Linked DNA regions of Caenorhabditis elegans. The protein of the gene in region 1 purifies or fractionates together with the protein of each later gene. This does not show direct contact. Each region holds a gene or a part of one and is shown on either strand. Other genes may lie near its edges. The genes, in order: her-1, rpl-13, prdx-3 and puf-12.

The links.
Region 2: the proteins of her-1 (region 1) and rpl-13 fractionate together in Caenorhabditis elegans (co-fractionation; one large-scale study listed by BioGRID). This does not show direct contact.
Region 3: the proteins of her-1 (region 1) and prdx-3 fractionate together in Caenorhabditis elegans (co-fractionation; one large-scale study listed by BioGRID). This does not show direct contact.
Region 4: the proteins of her-1 (region 1) and puf-12 fractionate together in Caenorhabditis elegans (co-fractionation; one large-scale study listed by BioGRID). This does not show direct contact.

What each region holds. Positions count from the first base shown.
Region 1 is NC_003283.11:9,695,164-9,702,565, forward strand, and holds her-1 (Protein her-1), read left to right. Parts: upstream 1-1,851; 5' UTR 1,852-1,965; coding exon 1,966-2,108; intron 2,109-2,157; coding exon 2,158-2,270; intron 2,271-5,606; exon of another isoform or gene 5,607-5,608; coding exon 5,609-5,766; intron 5,767-6,275; coding exon 6,276-6,389; 3' UTR 6,390-6,872; downstream 6,873-7,402. UniProt on the Caenorhabditis elegans protein: Dictates male development. Probably plays a direct role in cell signaling during C.elegans sex determination. Inhibits the function of tra-2a.
Region 2 is NC_003279.8:3,786,023-3,789,425, reverse strand, and holds rpl-13 (Large ribosomal subunit protein eL13), read right to left. Parts: upstream 1,391-3,403; 5' UTR 1,385-1,390; coding exon 1,218-1,384; intron 1,174-1,217; coding exon 1,008-1,173; intron 958-1,007; coding exon 871-957; intron 768-870; coding exon 564-767; 3' UTR 530-563; downstream 1-529. Other genes in the region: ptr-2 (SSD domain-containing protein), read left to right, coding at 1-12; tppp-1 (Tubulin polymerization-promoting protein homolog), read right to left, coding at 2,045-2,142, 2,187-2,434, 2,486-2,632, 2,783-2,832. UniProt on the Caenorhabditis elegans protein: Component of the ribosome, a large ribonucleoprotein complex responsible for the synthesis of proteins in the cell.
Region 3 is NC_003281.10:4,405,883-4,408,972, reverse strand, and holds prdx-3 (putative peroxiredoxin prdx-3), read right to left. Parts: upstream 1,530-3,090; coding exon 1,371-1,529; intron 1,325-1,370; coding exon 893-1,324; intron 715-892; coding exon 625-714; 3' UTR 539-624; downstream 1-538. Other genes in the region: gpch-1 (G patch domain-containing protein 1 homolog), read right to left, coding at 1-306, 351-408; RNA-binding protein rnp-4, read right to left, coding at 1,870-1,977, 2,285-2,530, 2,581-2,655; snfc-5 (SWI/SNF Subunit INI1 DNA binding domain-containing protein), read right to left, coding at 2,897-3,032, 3,081-3,090. UniProt on the Caenorhabditis elegans protein: Thiol-specific peroxidase that catalyzes the reduction of hydrogen peroxide and organic hydroperoxides to water and alcohols, respectively.
Region 4 is NC_003280.10:10,098,519-10,103,607, reverse strand, and holds puf-12 (Pumilio domain-containing protein 12), read right to left. Parts: upstream 3,299-5,089; 5' UTR 3,280-3,298; coding exon 3,160-3,279; intron 3,110-3,159; coding exon 2,807-3,109; intron 2,760-2,806; coding exon 2,255-2,759; intron 2,203-2,254; coding exon 1,943-2,202; intron 1,897-1,942; coding exon 1,197-1,896; intron 1,150-1,196; coding exon 737-1,149; 3' UTR 547-736; downstream 1-546. Other genes in the region: putative RING finger protein ZK945.4, read left to right, coding at 3-66, 111-190, 239-495; pas-7 (Proteasome subunit alpha type-3), read left to right, coding at 3,755-3,824, 3,874-3,986, 4,032-4,601; lact-2 (Beta-lactamase domain-containing protein 2), read right to left, coding at 4,919-5,089.

The DNA.
Region 1 (7,402 bases):
ACTCTATTGAAAATTTTTGAAACGTGAGAATTTCTAGTTCGCAAATTCGTAATAAATTTGATTAAAAAATATGTTGAATGTATCTAATTCACAGTTGCAATATTTTTTCTTACTATTATTTTCCATTGTATCTGAAAAATTAACAAGTTTCTCATTTTCATTACTACATAGTCATCGTGAAATTTCAAACACTAAATATATTTTTTCCAAGTAATTTTTGATTCCAATTCTTAATTATATTGATGAACAGATAGTTATTTTTGGGCCAGGAAAATAAAATTCAATGTAGCAATATATATTTGCATCAACGGAGCTCAACACCATTATATATCCTTATTTTCCCTGAATTGCCTTTATTGTGCTCGGTTGTAGCTACACTTGTAGACCCACGTCATCTGTCCACACCGCCTACTCGTTTGATCTTCTTTCCCGCGCATTCGATCTCTAAGTCACTCAATCTCCTATGCTATTTTAGTGAATCACGCACATGCAATAGCATTTGCTCACAATTGCAGACACTCAGTTACTGTGAGACAGGCAATATAATGGCCCTTCGGGATATCGAGTGTTGTCTAGAATGAGGTAAGTTGTGAGAAGATAGGAAGACAACGAAGTAAGATAAAGGAATTGTATTTGACTAAAAAATGAAATATCAATTTGATAAAAATATGTTTTGAAACTGTAAATTAATTTAATACATTGTTTTCTTTGACAGATCTTTGCATGTTCAATCAGTTTCTGATCTGAAACTTTCAGCTGAAAAGTATAGACGAATAAATAGTCAAATTTAAGTAAATTGATAATCTTAGATAGACCTAAAAAAGTAAAGTGAACCAATTCACGATTCGGTACGTTTCTGCCATAGAATACAACTCATTTCTTAAAATGATATAGAACAATACTTTAAAGAGTTATTCTAAAGAGTTCTAAGAGTTATTAAGAGATATTACTCTAAAGAGTTACTAAAGAGTATTCAATCTGAACCTTAAAGGAACATTAAAACTGAAGAAGATTATTTTGTTATTCGTTCTATCATTACTACAATCTTGCTCTTTTGATCTCTTGTCTCATGAGTATTTTGGTAGTTCAATCTGACAATTAACAAATTGTTATGCAGGATATTCGCAAATTTGGCAATCCTTATCATATCAATTACCGTCAAAGGTGGAACATACCATGTTTGAAACGAAATGAAGTCAATTGGAACATATAGAACGGTTACAGTATGCTCGATAAAGTATAATTTGATAAACTTTATTTTGTAAAACTATTGTATCAATCATCTACGGCATTAATCCTCAACCTTGAAAATAGATATGAAAGTAAAGTTGACAAGGCACAAAATTGGAACATAGTGATCGAAAATAAAGATATCTATTAATTGGAAATTGTTCGGCGAGGGGCTCTTCGAAACATTTACTGGGGTTTTATGAAAGTTTCTTCTAAAAAACATAATTTAAGATTGAGAGGTGCTCTCAATCAATTCAATATTTTCAAAGAAATAATCATATTCTGTGAAATCAACACTTAAATTATACATTTTTTCATATCTTTTAAAAAATGGAGTTGTATTTACAGGATTTAATGAGATTGTTGAGAGTGACGTCACTGACGAGCAGATATGTTTCAAACATGAACTAATTAGTTTCTAGTATAGTTTTGCCTAGTTTCTTATATATTAAGCAGAAACAACGGACCAGTTCTTCAGCTTCTGAGAGTAGATTATATCTTAGGAGCATACATGAGCACTGTATGTACCTTCTTTGTCTAACTTTCTTTGAGTATCTAAGTCTCTTCAGGTTCTATATCCATCATTCAACCAAATGACACTGCAGGGATGCCTATCTCCTGACTGAACCCACCAGTCGTCTCTTGCTCATATTCCTCCTACCTTCTGCTTCTATTTTCTCAGCGCATCTTGTCCACCTACAGTAGTAAATCTCCTCCCTTTCCTTACGTTGCATTATGAGATATCTCCCAATTTTTGTGTTTCTCGGATCATTTGGCTATACGGAAACTACATTAACAAAGGAACTTATCAAAGATGCAGCTGAGAAATGCTGTACAAGAAACCGTCAAGAATGTTGCATTGAAATTATGAAATTTGGGTGAACCGCTTTTACGAGCACGAACAATGCGATAATCGGTATAATTTAGAACCCCAATTCGATGTGGTTATGACAGGGATCCGAAGCTACCCGGATATGTCTACAAATGTCTTCAAAATGTGTTGTTTGCAAAAGAACCAAAGAAAAAGATTAACTTGGATGGTGAGCGTTTTTTTTTCAGGTAAAATTCTCCTCACAAGCCAAGATATCAAGTTTTGTTTATTCTTAAGAAATATAGGAAATGACTAATACGGTATGTACAAGTTAGTTTTAACTTGAGGAAAATCGAGAAACCGGTGGCATAGCGCCCGCCCGTGAGGTCATTGATTGGCCGGAGGCAGAAAGACCACACGCATTGAAAAGTCACAATATCTTTTCTGCCTCTTTCATTCGTATACTCTTTGGAAATTTTCAATAATTTTGAACATTTTTTTTTTAATATTCTTGCCTCAAATTGTTTTGAAAAAAATCAAAGTAAATCATCAGAGGCTTCTCTGATTTCAAAATAATAGTTAGAACGTAAGTAAAGAGAGAGCGTTTGAAATTTTTCATGAGTAAGATTATTATTACTACTTATCTTTAACTATTTGAAATTTAAAAATGGCATGCAATGTATGGGAGAAATATTTGAAGAAAGCGCCCAAGACTTCAAGAATATCTGAATTTGAGGAGTTATATCACAAAAACTGAGCCTGCAACCTATACTAAAAAGTATACCAAAACAAAGATAAAATTAAAGTCTTTGTTTCTGAGTATTTATTATCATTTGAAAAATTATTTAATAACACGTAAAACGTCTTCAAACTAACCCCAATTTAGAATGTTCGCGCTCTCTCTTGCTGAAATCAATTATAACTATGATAGAATGATTATTCGAATAATTCATAAGGGCTATTATTTTTTCACTTTAAATTATAAAACGAATACTTTACCAATTTTGAAACAAAGTTTCTGCCAATGTGAAATTAAACTGGAAATTGAAGTTTCACCGCTAAGTTCGAAAGCAAATGTTGGGCATTTCCATAATCCGAGTTACAGCAGAACGAGATGTTATCATATAGTAAAAAAATTGTTCAAACATTTTTCGATATTTTAGAAATTAGAAAAAATGCAGTACGATGACGTAGACAATGGTAAGAGGAGGAAGATAGTGCGTATGTGTGCGCAGAGAGGTACAAGGCTTCGGGCATTGGGCAGTCGCCACCATACGCTCGATCGATATATTCAAAGTCGGTCAGGCTTTTAACAATTTGAAGCTTACTGATATCAGTAAATTTGTGATAAATGTCAAGGATACCGTGTCTTTGAAGCAACTTAAGCTCTCTATAGTTTCCTGATTTGATTTCACTTCAACATACTACATTTCCAGTTATTGATAACACTTATCAACTAGCATTTAAACATTTTCTCATATCTATAATAATGTTTGATTTCCTGTAAATAGTTTCCTCTTCCATTTCGAATTGTAATATTTCCCTCAATAACATTGGAACCTTGTTCAACTAAATAGGGATCACTTTGACAACACCTAAAGCATCTACAAAAAATTTTTGGTAATGTAACAACCAAGTTTTCTAAAAGAATTTGACATGCTCTATTTGTTAGAAAAACTTTTTGATTATGTTTCAGGCTCAGTTTTTGAGATATTCAACTCTAAAGTTGCAACTTGTTCTAGGTGGTCCGTTCAATTGTCCTAGGGTTGTGCAGGCAATTGGTATTGCGCAGGGAGAATAGACGGACCCTTGTGTCTTGCGTACCACCTGTCATCATGTTTCGAGAGTAGATATTCTTCAAACCCTCAAACTATTTAGAAATATATTTTTTAGCCTCAAAAAGTTACGTTTTTCGTTCAGAATTCTATTAGGGCTACGTTTTAACATAAGTTTTAAAATAGGCTTCTTTATTTGTTTTTGAGATATTCATGGCCAAAAAAAAACTTTACAGTATTGAATTTGGCTCTAATATTTTTCAATACTTGTTCTCTACAATGTTAAAAAAAAATTAATTTCGCCTACTCATTTGATCATTTAATAGATTTATGAAAACATAAAAATTATGATAACAATGTCTTTGAATTCTCTGATAATGTTCATAATTTGTTTTGATCTTTCTCGTGTTATCTCTCCAAGATAAAAGAGTGTTCTACTGCGAGCACTGATACCATATCTTTGCATGTTTATCCTTTTATCAGTTGACTCACTCTTTTGTTAGGTGTATTGATTAGATGGGAGACTCCCCTGCAACAATTGTCCTACAGGAGCAGAGCAGTTGCTTTTTTTCTTTTGACATCTTGCATTTTTCGTTAGAAAGAAAATATTTAAGTGCCGCCGGGAGCAATCTGTTTTATTTACAAATATATCAGAATGCACGGCATCAGCTAATAAATATTGAATAAGTATTTTCTTGTTCTCACCCCTGTACAGTTTGCTTTTCTATTCCTCATTACACCTCCCAATCCAGGTGTGCTTGGTCCTTCATCTTATTAGATCTGCCATACGGTATAGGAATTACGATCTACAGTCGTCATAAAAGAGTCCGCAATACCGTCATGTGTGTCGAGTTGCAACAAAAGAGTATATGGGAAATGAGAGACTACGGTAAATGAGAGATACCGTAGACGAGATATAATGTAAGAGAGTGGTAGATCAAATGAGATGAAAAACGCGTCGATTAGGTCCATCCAGGAGAAACTAGATTGCGTAGAGCAAACATAGCTGTTTTGACGGGAACAATGTTTTTTGAGACTACAAATATCATAGCTTCAGCTACATCTGAGGTTTTCAAATTTTTCTCGAATAGCTGATAAAGTGAAACTTCATAATGAAGGTAGATATCAGTGCTCAAATAATGTATACCGTATTCCCCGTTATTGTATTAGACCTTATTGTTCAATTTTACCAGCTTATATTTTAGTTAGCGTTTGTTCTATTCAAATATTGCCAATTGAGAAACTATTATTTCTTTTTCAATTGCTTGCAGTTAAAATTTATTGATATCTTTAAAATGAGTTGATAGTGAGATATAAAGCTTTCAATTAAAATAATGTGGTGCAATACTATTAGAGAAAATACAGTAATCTTACTAAACTAAATGCACGCGTGATTAAATCCAAAAAGTACAGAACTTAATTGGTTTATTTAGGTGCGTTCCCCTGAGCAGAAATTGTCTTAATATAAATTAATTTGAAAATCTGAAATTCGAGAAATTTCTACTTTCTGTAAAGTTGTGAATATTCACTAATTTTATTGATAATATGAGGTTTATAGAAAAACTTACAAATGCATTTGACTCACAGAATTGCTATAATTTTACGATTTCCCAGAAGAGACTTTCCCAAAAGAAATCGTTATTTTTGAGGGACAAATTGTCTTAATTATCGATCTATTATTTGCCTCTTCACACGTAAAACATGCCAACACCTGTCTCTTTTGACTCCGCCTCTCTGATTGCCCCGCCCATTTGCCCATCCCACGCCCTAATCTCATATTGTCTTTATTCAGACTCCGTGTGCTGCTCCGTGTTTGGCAACGACCAAAACGATTCTGGAAGAAGATGTGAGAATCGTTGCAAGAACCTCATGACCAGCCCTTCCATCGACGCTGCCACACGTCTGGACAGCATCAAAAGTTGCTCGCTTCTGGATAATGTACTGTATAAAGTGAGTTTTTGTTAACACAGAATTTCAGTTCGCCTATTCTAGTTAGACAAACGGGTAAATTGAAAATATTCGGTGCAATCTGTCTTATGGTTTTTTCAGCTCCTGCCTATTTCAGTACGTAGTCCTAATTTTTCCAGTTTTAAAGAAAGGATCCCTAGTTGACCAAAGCCAAGTTTAAAAATATTAAATTATCTCCAACTCTGTAAAAACGGCTGCGATTTGCAGACTTTTTCTTGGTCCAGGCAAACAATTTTGGAGTTCGTCCCATCCATTCCCTCGTCTATAAAATTCATCCTAAAACGGAGAAAATTAAAAAAAAAATTCAATTGGCAAGCGGAAAATCCGATAGTGGATAGATATCACCCCAAAAATTGTTCGCCTAGGTTGAGATACATTTTTGGAGCAGTGCGTCAGTCCAGGAACCACGTTTTTCAAAGATATCTCATTCGATATTCTAATCGTTCAATTCGAGTTAATCAAGTGTGTCATAAAACAAATTTATTTTTCAGTGTTTTGAGAAATGCCGGAGCCTCCGTAAAGATGGTATCAAAATTGAAGTGCTCCAATTCGAAGAATACTGCAATGCAACGTTTATCCAAAAGCGAACTTTCCGAGGAGTCTGAATCTGGGCTCATTAGCCTAAAACATCCCTAATCCGCCGTTGTCATTATGGCACTCTCCATCATGAGTGGTCCAATTTTTTCTTTTCTTTCTAAACCTTTTTATTTTATTTTTTGTAACACCTCTATGTCTACCTCTTAATCAAAGCTTTGAGCTTTACTCACTTTGAGTTATATTTTTAATCTTGTGTTCTCCTTATGTTGAAGAAAATTTTCGATACGCAACTTGTCATATTGTTGTATATATTTTTAATAGAATTTTTTGAAATGTCCTATTCTTATTGATTTCTTCTTAACATTCTCTTCAAGAATGTTTTCGGATGCGCTCAGATGTCATGAAGGCGCACTACGGTGCGGTCCTGATTTTATTTATTTTTTTTTTCATAAAAAATATATCTTCTCTTGTTGGTTTCTCCTAAAGTTGTCAAATATGAATATTCAAGTACTTTCTACGATCTTTTTTATTGAATAAATTGTTTTATCAACGCACAGAACCCATACGACATAATCAACAAAAAATGATAAGAAAGTGATTTTCGAACTACAAATTTTATCAATTTTTTTTCAATTCTCTGCTTTCTAACAAATTCTAAATTTTATTTGTAATTTTAGTTATTCAAACTGCAAAACGAGCAAAACTTTATTTCTTATCCGTTTTGAAAGATTAATAAACTAAATGTAATGTTGTTTCTCATATTCTGCTTGTTATTTTAAACTGAATAATGCTTTAGAGCTAGCAAGGAAAAATCAATCAATTCATTCGAAATTGATAAAATGGCCATTAAGGTTTTTTTTTAAATTTTATGTGTTAACACATGTGTTGGGTTTCATCATAAACTTGTACTTGGTGGAATTCAAACTATATAAGTTTAGATTTTTTGTAAATCAACACAAGTTACCAAAACTGTTCAGGCGTGATCCGAGTTTGAAGTATGGATTCTGCTAACTTAAGTTTAGAATACAATATAAGAATAAAGTTAAGAAAACAATTAACTCAAGAAATGCCGATGTTCTTA
Region 2 (3,403 bases), on another chromosome or scaffold:
CACCTAGACTAGTCTTTCTTCCAATGACTCTCATTAACTAATTGAATACGTGTATTTGTAGAATATTGTGAATGTTCTACGTTGTTTTTAAATATATGTGAATGAATATCTTAATTGAAATTTTAAATATTATTAACTCTCGAAACATTATCAGTGAGTCTAGAATGGGAAGGAGACATTTTTAGAACAAATCGGTCAAAAATAAGAAAACGGATAATTGGATATTTAAGCCAACAGCCACCTATTTCTCAGTGCTACAAATTTTTACCAAAAGCTGAGGATTAATATGCGTTTCTTGAAATTAAACTTTAATATTTTTCAAGTAGCGAATAAAATCACAATGAAAACCTAAACTAATAGTAAGCGACAGAATTTTTAAGATTTACAATCGGAAACTCAAAATCAACTTTCCCGTTCTGATGTTTCACTTTTGACCATAAGTTTTCAAATAAAAACTTAAACTAGACGTATTGTATTTTAGAATATTATTTGCATTTCGTTTGTTCGTTGGTAAGTCACTGTTAACTTTCATAACAAGTTTATGAACAGAGAAAATCAACAATTTACTTATTCTCCTCAGCGGCCTCTCTGGCTCTCTTCTCACGCTTTCCACGGTATTTCTTGTCAGCACGCTCCTTGCGGAGAAGTCTGAAGATCTCGACCTTGCGTTCGGCGTCGGTAACTTGGCGTGGCTCGTCGAAGGTGATGGTGTGGGAAAGTGGAAGGACATCTCCGCGAAGTTGGGCGGCAACCTTGAGCTCCTCAGCCTTAAAAATCAATATTCATATTATGCAGGAATTATTTAACAAACTGTTATCGACTAAGTTCAAAAATACTTTCAAACTTAATTAAATGCAAAAAAAAACTTACAGAGCTGTCTCCCTTCTTTGGTGCGCTAGCCTTCTTCGGGAAGAGGATAAGCTTGGCTTTGTACTCCTTGAGACGATCGGCGTTGGCCTAAAATATTGTATACATTTAATTTTCATGCAAAATAATTTATTACATACCTTAAGTCCCTCGGCGGTCTTGTTGGTTCTTCTCACATCAACGGCGATTCCGATGGTGCGGGCCTGAGCCTGGGAGATTCCGGCGGCCTTGAGCTCTTGAAGAGAGAAACCACGTCCAAGACGAGTCTTGGTGTTGTATCTCTTCTGTGGGCAACGGACGACAGATCTGAAATGAAACTATATTTAATGAAAAGACTAATTCTATCTAACCTGAGAAGTCCAGCAACTGGGCGAGGAGCGATTTCGACAGCCTTAGCTTGACGGTTCTGTCTTCTGCGGAGTTTGCGAGCTGGCTGGTCGAACCAGGTCTTTATGCGCTTGTGCCAGTGCTTGCGGAAATGGGCATTGCCCAACATTTGGTTTCCACGTGGAGCCATTGTACCCTGAAAAAAAGAAGTAAAATTGCGATTTTAGTTCAAACTAATGAAAATTGCGATAGAAATACAGAAAATAACTCAATAACAACGCAAAATTGCGAAAAAAAGCTTAAATAGATATTTTTAAAACAATTTCCGGGAGAAAATTTAAAAAATCAGCATATTGAATCAAAAAAGAAAAGAAAAAATTCAGAAAAATTCTATGGGTTTCTTCTTCACAGTGTTACAACGTTGAATACTCAGCCAACGAATTGGCTGCGGCAGCCAAGCGCTGCGAGACCTGCCTGTGTACTTGTGTCGATTTACGCAGGAACAAAATGTGTGCCTAATTTGTTTCGCAGTCTATAAAATTGAATATTTCCATTTAAAATAGTTAAATCAATAAGAAAGTGGTATTTTCAGTGAACTTAACTTTTCTGAAAATAATTTTTAATATGGTACATAACTTCAAACTACTTTATCATCTCTAAAAACTAGAAAGTGGAATTAATTTAATTCAAAAAATTACTGAAATTATTTGCTTTTGAATTTTAGATTAAAAAAAGTTAAATAAATAAATTTATTAATACAAAGATATTACTGGGAATTATACATTCGAGAATATAGACAAAACGAAAAGAAAAAGAAGTGCATTTATTTGGTCCATAGAGAGATCTTTGATTACTTTCCATGTGTTTTATCGTAGGAATCTTTATTCTTGTAAGCTCCAACATATCCAGTATTTTCTGTTGTATCCGCACGTCCTGATTTTCCTTTTCCTGAAATTACATATTTCTTTCGTGAATTCATTTTCTACAAATACCTTTTCCTTCGGCATCGAATCTTTCTTTATGGGCTCCAGTATACTTTGTGTGATCGGTGAGACGGCTGTAAACGCCGGCCGCATTGGCCTTCGCCGCACCTCCAACACTCGGCGCTTCCAATTTGGCCAATTTCTCTGTGATTGCGTCCAGTTCGTCCTGAATCGGCTTCTTACTTTGTCTCGCGCGATCCTCGGCGACAAATGCCAGCACTTTCTTCGTTTCGTCGAAAGTGGCCTTCTTTTTAGGTCTATAATAAATTTTTTAGTTAATTCGATGCAGACAGTAAAGTTCAACCCACCCAGTAACTTTGCTGAAAGCGATTCCGGTCATTGTCCCGGTGATGGCTTTGTTGTCGAGGACACCAGCATCCTTAAGCCACTTGTCGAAGTTCTTTCCAGTCATTTCGGTGGCGGTAGCAGCTCCGAATTTGGTGAACGCGTCCCATCTAGAAAATTAAAAGGTTTTGATGCGAAATTCTAACTCGAAACTGTGTGAAAAACAATGTTTTGTTAATTTTTTTCTGGTTACCAAAATTGAAATCGGTAAACTACTGGACTTCTTGCAAAGTTTATAATTTAAAATCCAAATAATTTACCTTTTCTTCACATCAGCATCATCCCAGTTGAATCCAGCAGCAGCGGCCATGATTTTCTGAAAAATAAAAGGTGTTTGTATAGTGAAAATAGGAATAACGACCGGAAAAGAATGAGCACTCGATGGCAACCATGGAAACATGGAAATATTCAAAGAGAGTTGAGAAAACTGCGTGAGAGGAGAGCATAAATCAAAAATAGGTGGAGCTCTATCGAGCATAAGAGAATTAAGAGAATCACGTGGCGGCAATATCTGCACTCGATTTCTGACTTTGTTTAGCAATTTGAGGAAGAAGAAGTATAAAAGCCCATGTGTCGGAAGGAATTGGCAGAAGCTGAGTGTGGAGTAGAAAGAGCACAATGGGGCGAGAGCCAAGATTATTATCTATTCATTCTTCGCGCAACGCCAACGTTGTTCCCTAATTGCGCCGTCCGTCAGTTGAAAAGCATAACGAGCCAAAGAGATTCGGACGGTGATTAGTGAAGTTTTGAACTAGCAGGAAACGGGTGAGAAAGTGAAGAGAGATAGGGCAAACGGCGTTCTTTAATGAAATGAGAAAAAAACTTCTCTCTTCCTCTTTTCAATCGCGTATTTCGACCTCTCTTACACCGGATAAATCATC
Region 3 (3,090 bases), on another chromosome or scaffold:
CCATTTTCCTTTTCTGTCCAGCTCCTTCACCAAATGCCGCAGTCTGTTTTATCGATCGATTCCCTATTCCATATTCTCCAAGATCTTCTGCATCCATAAAATCTTCAGCTCTTTGTTTTATTTGTTCTCCACGTTCATTCCGAGATGATGAGAACACTTGAGGAACCCATCCTTGCTTTGATCCAACTGTATTCCAATAACCAGCTGAAAATCCTCCAGTGAAGGCTCCATGGAATCTCCGTTTTCCTTTTTCATCTGTTGCTATCTCTTCGTGGATTTGAGTTGGCTTTTTTGATACAGAGCTTCCTGAAATTATTTATTTTTTTCCTGAAAACTGTAAAATTGCAGACCTTCTTCGTCATCATCTTCGAATTCCTGACCATATGCTGCTAATTTTTTCCTGTTCATTTATTTAGAAAAATCTGAAATGAAATTCACATTTTTTTCCAAAACTTTTTAGGAAACAAAAATCAATATTTTAATGGATTTTTCTGAAACCGTATATTTTCCAAAATTAATTTCAAAAAACTCGAGCTGAATGACACCTATTTATTTAAACCGACAAACTAAATCATCAATATGATAAATACAAAGAATAAAAATAATTGTTCTGTTTCTGTGTGATCACTTGTTGACCTTGTTGAAGTATTCCTTGCTGGTAGCGACTCCTGGCTTGATGGTTGGAGAATCCTCATGCCAATCAGCTGGGCAAACCTGAAAAATTAATTTTTTATTCGTCGAAATTTGTTTTAATGGACTAAAACTAGCCCGAAACGACCGATTTCCTTTTCAACAAAAATTTAAATATTTTTATGGCGGGCCAAAGTTTCGGAAAAAAAACATTGCATTTTTTTTGCTAGAAATTAAATTTTTTGTAAATTTCAAAATTCACCTCTCCGTGCTTATCAGAGAATTGGAATGCCTTGAGCACTCTCAAAGTCTCATCAACAGATCTTCCAACTGGAAGATCGTTACAAGTAGTGTGACGGACAGTTCCAGATGGATCAATGAGGAAAAGTCCACGGTATGAGAGTCCGGATTCCTTGTCGAGCACACCGAACGAGTCGGCGATCTTCTTGTTGAAATCAGCGAGCAAAGGGATGTCCATATCACCGAGTCCTCCGTCCTTGCGTGGAGTGTTAACCCAGGCCAAGTGAGAGAAGTGAGAATCACACGAGCACGCGACAACTTCAGCTCCAAGAGAACGGAACTCGTTTGCACGATCTCCGTATGCGATGATTTCAGTTGGGCATACAAAGGTGAAGTCAAGTGGATAGAAGAACATGACGAGCCATTTTCCTTTGTAGTCTTGATCAGAAATCACCTGGAATTAATTTTTGAAAAAAATATATATATTTGTTATTTTTAACCTTGAAGTCTCCATCAACGACAGCAGTTCCTTTGAAAGCTGGGACAGTATTTTTTGGTCCAAGTGGACGAAGTGACAAAAGAGCACGAGATGTGCTCAACTGGCGGGTGGCAACAGTAGGAACCGTGCGGCAAAGAGCTCGAACAGCAGAAGAAAACATCTGCAAAACTCAGATATTCAGAAATCTTTTTTTCCAGAATTTGATCTACGAAACAATTGAAGATATCAAATCGTTCCAAACTGGTTAACGATAAAAAGAAAATAGCAACAGCAGATAATTGAAAAATGGTCATTTTATTCACTGTTATTGCATGTGTCACATAGATAACAAAAATCGCAAAATTGAGAAGAGCGAGCGAGTTGAGACCAAATAGATATTTAAAATTTCGAATGGTAAATTGGGAAAGAGGACAAAAAATAAATAGAAAAGGAAAAACTTAACAGTGACGTGTAAAAAAACATAAAACGTGGATTGGAGAGGACAATTAAGTACGTGGTTTTCAGCGCTTTCCAGAAGTCTTCTTTCCCTTGACGAAGCACCAATCGACTTTGACATTCTGGCCGAGAAGATCTGTATCGTTGCTCTGATCAATAGCTTCGTTGGCTTCCTGGAAAATAAATAATTTATATTGATACCAGCCGTGGACCGCACCTCCGGCGCGGCCCCCCACTTCTGGGGCTGAAAACTAATTTTTCTGAAACTACCGTAACCCTACAGTATTCCTACCGTACCACTATTGTACCACTACAGTACCCCGACTATATCCCTACACTAACCCCAACTCACTATCCCCACAGAAGCCAAAACTTCACAGACTACAAAGACTACATAGACTACAAACTATGGACACACAGAATAAGCGCTTTATATATAGTAAATGATTTCGATAGAAACGACGACTGCTAAAATATTACCTTCTGCGTTTCGTACTCCACCAGTGCGTATCCCTTCAAAAAACCGGTTCGTCTGTCGAGATTCAAATGAATGTTCTTAATTTTTCCGTACTCGGAAAACTTGTCATGAACATCATCTTCTGTTGCCTCTTCGTGAATGTTTGTCACGAAGACAATCCATCCTTCAACGGATCTTTGTGGTGCTCCGCTTGTGGCAGACGACTCTTCATCGACCACGTCGTAGGTGATCCTCTCGCGATTGCGACTCTAGAAAAATATATTATTGATTATTGATTACAAAATTCGACAAAATTTACCTGCGCAAGTCCTCGACCTCTTGATCTCTCGGCGTTGGCCACCACATCCTCCATCTCTACTTCGTTGTCGCTCATTTTTCTCTTCAAGCGATTGAGACGATCGGGCTCTGAAATTTTATTTATTTATATTTTCAGTTAGATCATTCAGTTTGAAAACCGCCACAAGTTCCTATTGGAAAGAGCAGTTTACACGAGAAAATGTAGAGAAAAGATCGAGGAAAGAATAAATTAAAAGAAAGTGCACATTAAAAATATTGAGATAAAATGGTTAAAATTCGTTAAATACAGGTTGATTTCGTAGAGATCAGTAGATACTTCAATAGTTGAATCCACCGCCAACAAGACGACGCATTCTTCTCGTGTTTCTGTCTTGATCACGCATCTTCTTTTCGATTTCAGCGTCGGTTAAAGTTTCGAGGAATGGACCCCAAGATTCGACTTCAGATGATGTTCTGAATAGCATTGGTTTGCAAAAATTCATTATTTCATATCAAATTTACCTGAACGGGC
Region 4 (5,089 bases), on another chromosome or scaffold:
AGAGTGTCACCGAAACGAAGTGAGAAAGTTCATCGAAAACCACAGCACTCGAATTTCGTCCCGATCGTAAGTCTATTATTTAGTTATTCTACAATTTCTTCAATTTACAGAAACATTCTTCGTTATAATTGCGACTTTTTAGAAATCATTGACAGAACTGAAGATCTTACGATTTATTCTGAAGGATTGCGTGAGTTTTTCGATAATTGTTGCGTCATCTGAAAACTGAAAGATTAAGGCTTAATAATGATAGTTGATCTGCTCGATGGTGATCGTGATCGATACTTTGTCGCTCTGGAGCAGTTGGAAGAAGCTGTAGCATATGAAAAAATAATTGTTGGTCTGAAAAGCTATTCTCGTGGACATGGCGAAGCTGCATCGAATTTTCTCACTAAGCTGGCGGATCTCCATAACAAAATGCCAAAAATCACCGTTGTCGTAAATGTCGACCGAAGCGAGGATATCGAGAAAATTGTTAATGAATCAATAATCTAAAATTATAATTGCACACTGTTATTATGATCTCAATTCTGTGTTTTTACAACGTTTTTTTTATATTTTTCCTTTTTATTACCGTACGGTGTTTCAAAAAATTAACGAGATGCAAAAAGTAATAAAAAAAAAGTCAACAACAAAATAACGAGAACAATAAAAAGGTGTGGTATTTAGAGATGTATAGGACGAATCCCTCAAAACAAATAAAATCAACAAAAATTAATTCGTATACCTTGCATTCTCACTTCTTGACATTTCCGTCGAGCTGTGCCTTCAGAAGATTTGCTCCTTTTGAGTTATAGCCATCCAAGTGTTTTCTGCTGATCGAAGCCTTCAATTTTTCAATAACTTTCGGTCCTCCAACTTGAAGCATTTTCAAGAGAACATGGCAACCGCGATTGCAAGTCACCCACGAGCCAAGCTGCTTGCTCGTAAGTCCTTCTGCCAATGCAACTGACAAACGTTCATCTTCTTGTAGAGCGGCATCACAGCGCATGACTGCCATGAGAATGAAATTGCCCGATTGGTGTTCAATAATGTGGAAGCCTTCCTGGTCCATTGGTACAAAGTCCTTCTTCGCCAATTCAACGATCGCTTGGTTGCAACTCTTGCGAGCTTCTGCTGGGACTTGTCGATCGAACAAATCGAAGCTTGCTGAAAAAAACTCGAATTCTTTATAATTGTGCAACTTTTAAACTTACAGGTGGTTTCGAGACATGCAGCCACGAATTTTGACTTGTTGGCCTCGAAAACAAGCTCTTCGAAGTTAGCAGCCAAATAAGGATACAAGTTCTCGGTAATACCGGCGTACAACTGTCCATATCTATCCTTTTGAGTTTTCTTCGAGTGTGGATTGCTATCACCTTCGGCAAGGAATGTAATTTCTCTTTTGTCGATTCCTCTTCCATCTCTTGGATGCACCAAATAGTGGATAACTTTCTCTCCCCAATCATCTTCGATCAACTTCTTCATTTCATTTGCCAACTCGGAGACAATAACCTTATTGAGAAGAACAGTATCGTCGACAGTATCAAAAAGTGCAAGAAGAACACGATGTCCGTAATGTTCCATTGCGGCTTTTACTGACAAATCCTTGAAATTCTTGACGATCAATTTTCTTTCCTTGACTGGAGCAAACCAAATGAGTTTAATAGCCAATTTGGCACCATCTGGAGTATGAATGAACTCGGGAATTTTATCTTTCAGTGAATCAAGGAGATTGATTTTCTTTTCCTCGTCGCAATTATCGAAAAAGTCGAGCATAAGTTTGTGCAGAATTGAAAGTCGCAAAGTTTCTTTTTCATTCACTGCTCCAATAACCTCGTCCAAATGCTTCAAAATCACAACCTTCTTTTCCGGCTTTTCAGCGAGAATCTCCGTCAGAGATCTGATATTGTCTTCCTGAAATCAACAAACTATTTTTAGAGCTTAATTGAATGTTGTTTACTCTGAACAAAATGAATTCTTTTCCATAAAATTCAGTAATGATGTTGTAACGCTGATGGGCATTAGCGAAGTCATTGTAAGCATATTCAAGAACTTCGGCAGCATGTTTGATTCTGAGCAGGGTTGGAGCATGTCCGCGGAATGCATTAATGATAATATCACGTTGTTCTTTAGTTCCATTCTTCAACATTTTCTTGACGAAAAATTTGGAATAGACGTTCTTTGACATCCTCACTATTTCTGGGGTTAATTCGTTGAACACTGCAATAATTATGTTCTCGTAATTATTCATGGGAACCTTCAAAAAACTTACAGTTGTTAATGATTCCTTCTCTTTCAGTGGCAACAAGACATTCGATAACTCTGCTGGTGTCGTGAGCATAGATCAGCTTGGCAGCGTGTCCTTTTACAAGACCATACAACTCGTGAACCGCAGTATCCTTTTCAGCTTTTGGCGTCTTTCCCATTCTGATCTTTTCCCAAAGTTCCTTGCATTTTTGAGCACGAGCTCCTTCAGGTTTTCTCTTCAATTTCAACTCCTTCAAAAATGCTTTTCTTTCTTTTCTCGGCATATTCAGCAATTGTTCTTTAACAGACTTTGTGACTTGAATAGCTACTCTCTTTCTCTTTAGAGTTGGAATGTCAATATGAGATTCATCTCCACCTGCTTGTTCGTCGACAGATTCCAAATTTTCATCGTCTGCTGGCTCAGAAGCAACGGCTTTCTCTGCATTAACCTTCACTTTTTTCTTTGGGGGAGCGGAATGCTCTTCTTCTTCTTCCTGAGCAACTTTGACAGTCTTCACTTTGGCAAGTTTCTGAAAAAAAACAATTGTGTAAAAGACGATATATTGAATTAACAAACCTTAACCTTCTTATCAAGAGGGGATCTGAGAATTCCTCTTCCTGGAGATGCCTCTGATGGTTTGATTTGAAGATCCTGAACTCGCTTATCGAAAACCTTAACATGTTCAAGTTCTCCTGAGAAAAGCACTTTTTTCGATTTCTTTTTCGGTGCTGGCTGGCTTCCGAACGAAGACTCCGAGCACAAAGAGTCACGAGTCCCATCATTATCAAAAACTGATGTTGAAGATGACTTTTTCAACCTTTCCAACTCGTCCTTCACAGCTTTGTCTACTTTGCTTTTTAACGCTGCTTTTTCTTCAATCTGAAATATTTCACAAAAAATTATTTACAAAATGAAGTAATTTAACAAACCTTAACAATTCGCTTTCTGTCTACTTTGTTGAGTTTTAATCCTTTTGCCTTTTTCTCCAACACATTTTTAACCTTCTTCTTCCCTTTGAATTTTTTATTTTTGTCGTCGAGTTTCACCATTTTTACCCGCGAGATTTCTCTGAAAGACACGCATATTAAAAGGAGTAATAAACACAAGACAATTTTATGTGAGGTTTAAGCGATTTTTACTTTGGAAACAAATTGCACAGCTTCAAAATAGTAACAAAAAGTTACGAAAAAGTAAAGAAAAATGAAAAGAAAATGTTAAAGGCGCATGTTGTCTTCTGACGTCTCTCAATTTACACACTCTCTTCTTCGTCGTTGCGAGACCTGCCGCAATGTTCGTCTCTCCCGTAAATCGACATTGGAAAATCATCATTTGAAATTTTATTTCCATTTAGCTGCCATTTTCAGATTATCAGCTTTTATTTTCGCAATAATTCTACTATTTTTAACGCATTCAAATAAACGAATTATTAAATATTAAATTTTAACGGTTCTTCTGATTTCCGCAGAAATAAAACACGTACCAGTTGCAATCATATATGTGTTAACATAGTTTTTATTTTGCAGAATGAGTTCAATCGGTACCGGCTACGATCTCGCCGCCTCTACTTTTTCTCCTGATGGCAGAATTTTCCAAGGTTTGTTTCGATTTTGCTTTGTTCAAAATACTCATAATCTCGTTTTCAGTCGAGTACGCTCAAAAGGCTGTCGACAATGCAGGAACAATGATTGCAATTCGTGGCAAGAACGGAGTTGTGGTCGTTGCTGACAAGCTGATCTCTTCCAAACTTTACACTGATGTGAGTAATTTAAGAGATTTTCAAGATTTTATCTATAATTTTCAGAACGCTAATCCAAGAATGTTTAACGTGAACGACAATGTTGGTGTCGCAGTTGCTGGAAACTATCCAGATGGTTTCGCTCTGAAGAACTATGCTTACGGAGAAGCAATGAAGTGGCTCAAAGACTACCGTGAGCCAATGCCGATTCAGAATATTGCTAACTCAGTTGCTGAGTACATTCACATTCACACTCTCGGCATTAGTCGTCCGTTTGGAGCAGGAGCCTTCTTCATGTCATGGAACAAACAAACTGGAGGACGTCTTTTCCTTGTGGAGCCATCAGGTCTAAACTATGAATACAAGGCATGGGCTGTCGGAAAACATCGCCAAGCCGCAAAAGCTGAGATTGAGAAGCTGAAGATCGAGGAGCTGGATGTGAATCAACTCGTGAAGGAAGCTGCTCGAATCATTATGGTGGTGCGTGACGAGAACAAGGATAAAAACGTTCAAATCGAAATGGGATGGGTCGGTGAGCAGACGAACGGAAAGTACGAAGAAGTTCCAAGCGAGGTTGTCACTGCTGCCGAGGAATGGGCTATTGCCAAGCTTGACGAGGACGACATGGACGATTGAATCATTCTCGTGTATTTATTCACATTTTTAATTTATTATCAGCTCTCTTCTTTCTGCCCTGGTAAACTTCTTGCGCTCGGCGAGTCATTTTATTGTACTTCAAACCGACTCACCGACTTCAAGAAGAACTTTTTGCACCCGGATGTTTTTTTTTAACTTTTTCTGTTCATTATTTTTCGGTTTCCCGGTATTACCCATTTTTCTCAATACAAATTCAGACAAACCAGAAACATGTTTATGCACAATTCGCTGGGGGCAGTAGACCCGTCCCAAATTATGGCGCTATGTACAAACAAGGATAACAACAATTTTTTAAGTTATGCGGCAACTGCTTGAACTGCTTCCTCGATCATCACACTTTGACCAGTCTTCTGTTTCTCCAAGCACTCAAATACAGAATCTCGAAGATGTCTGTATGTTCTCGTAAGCTCTCCCATTCCAGTTTTCAATCCATTCGAGACGTAGGCAATCGTGATCCCATCTTCCAA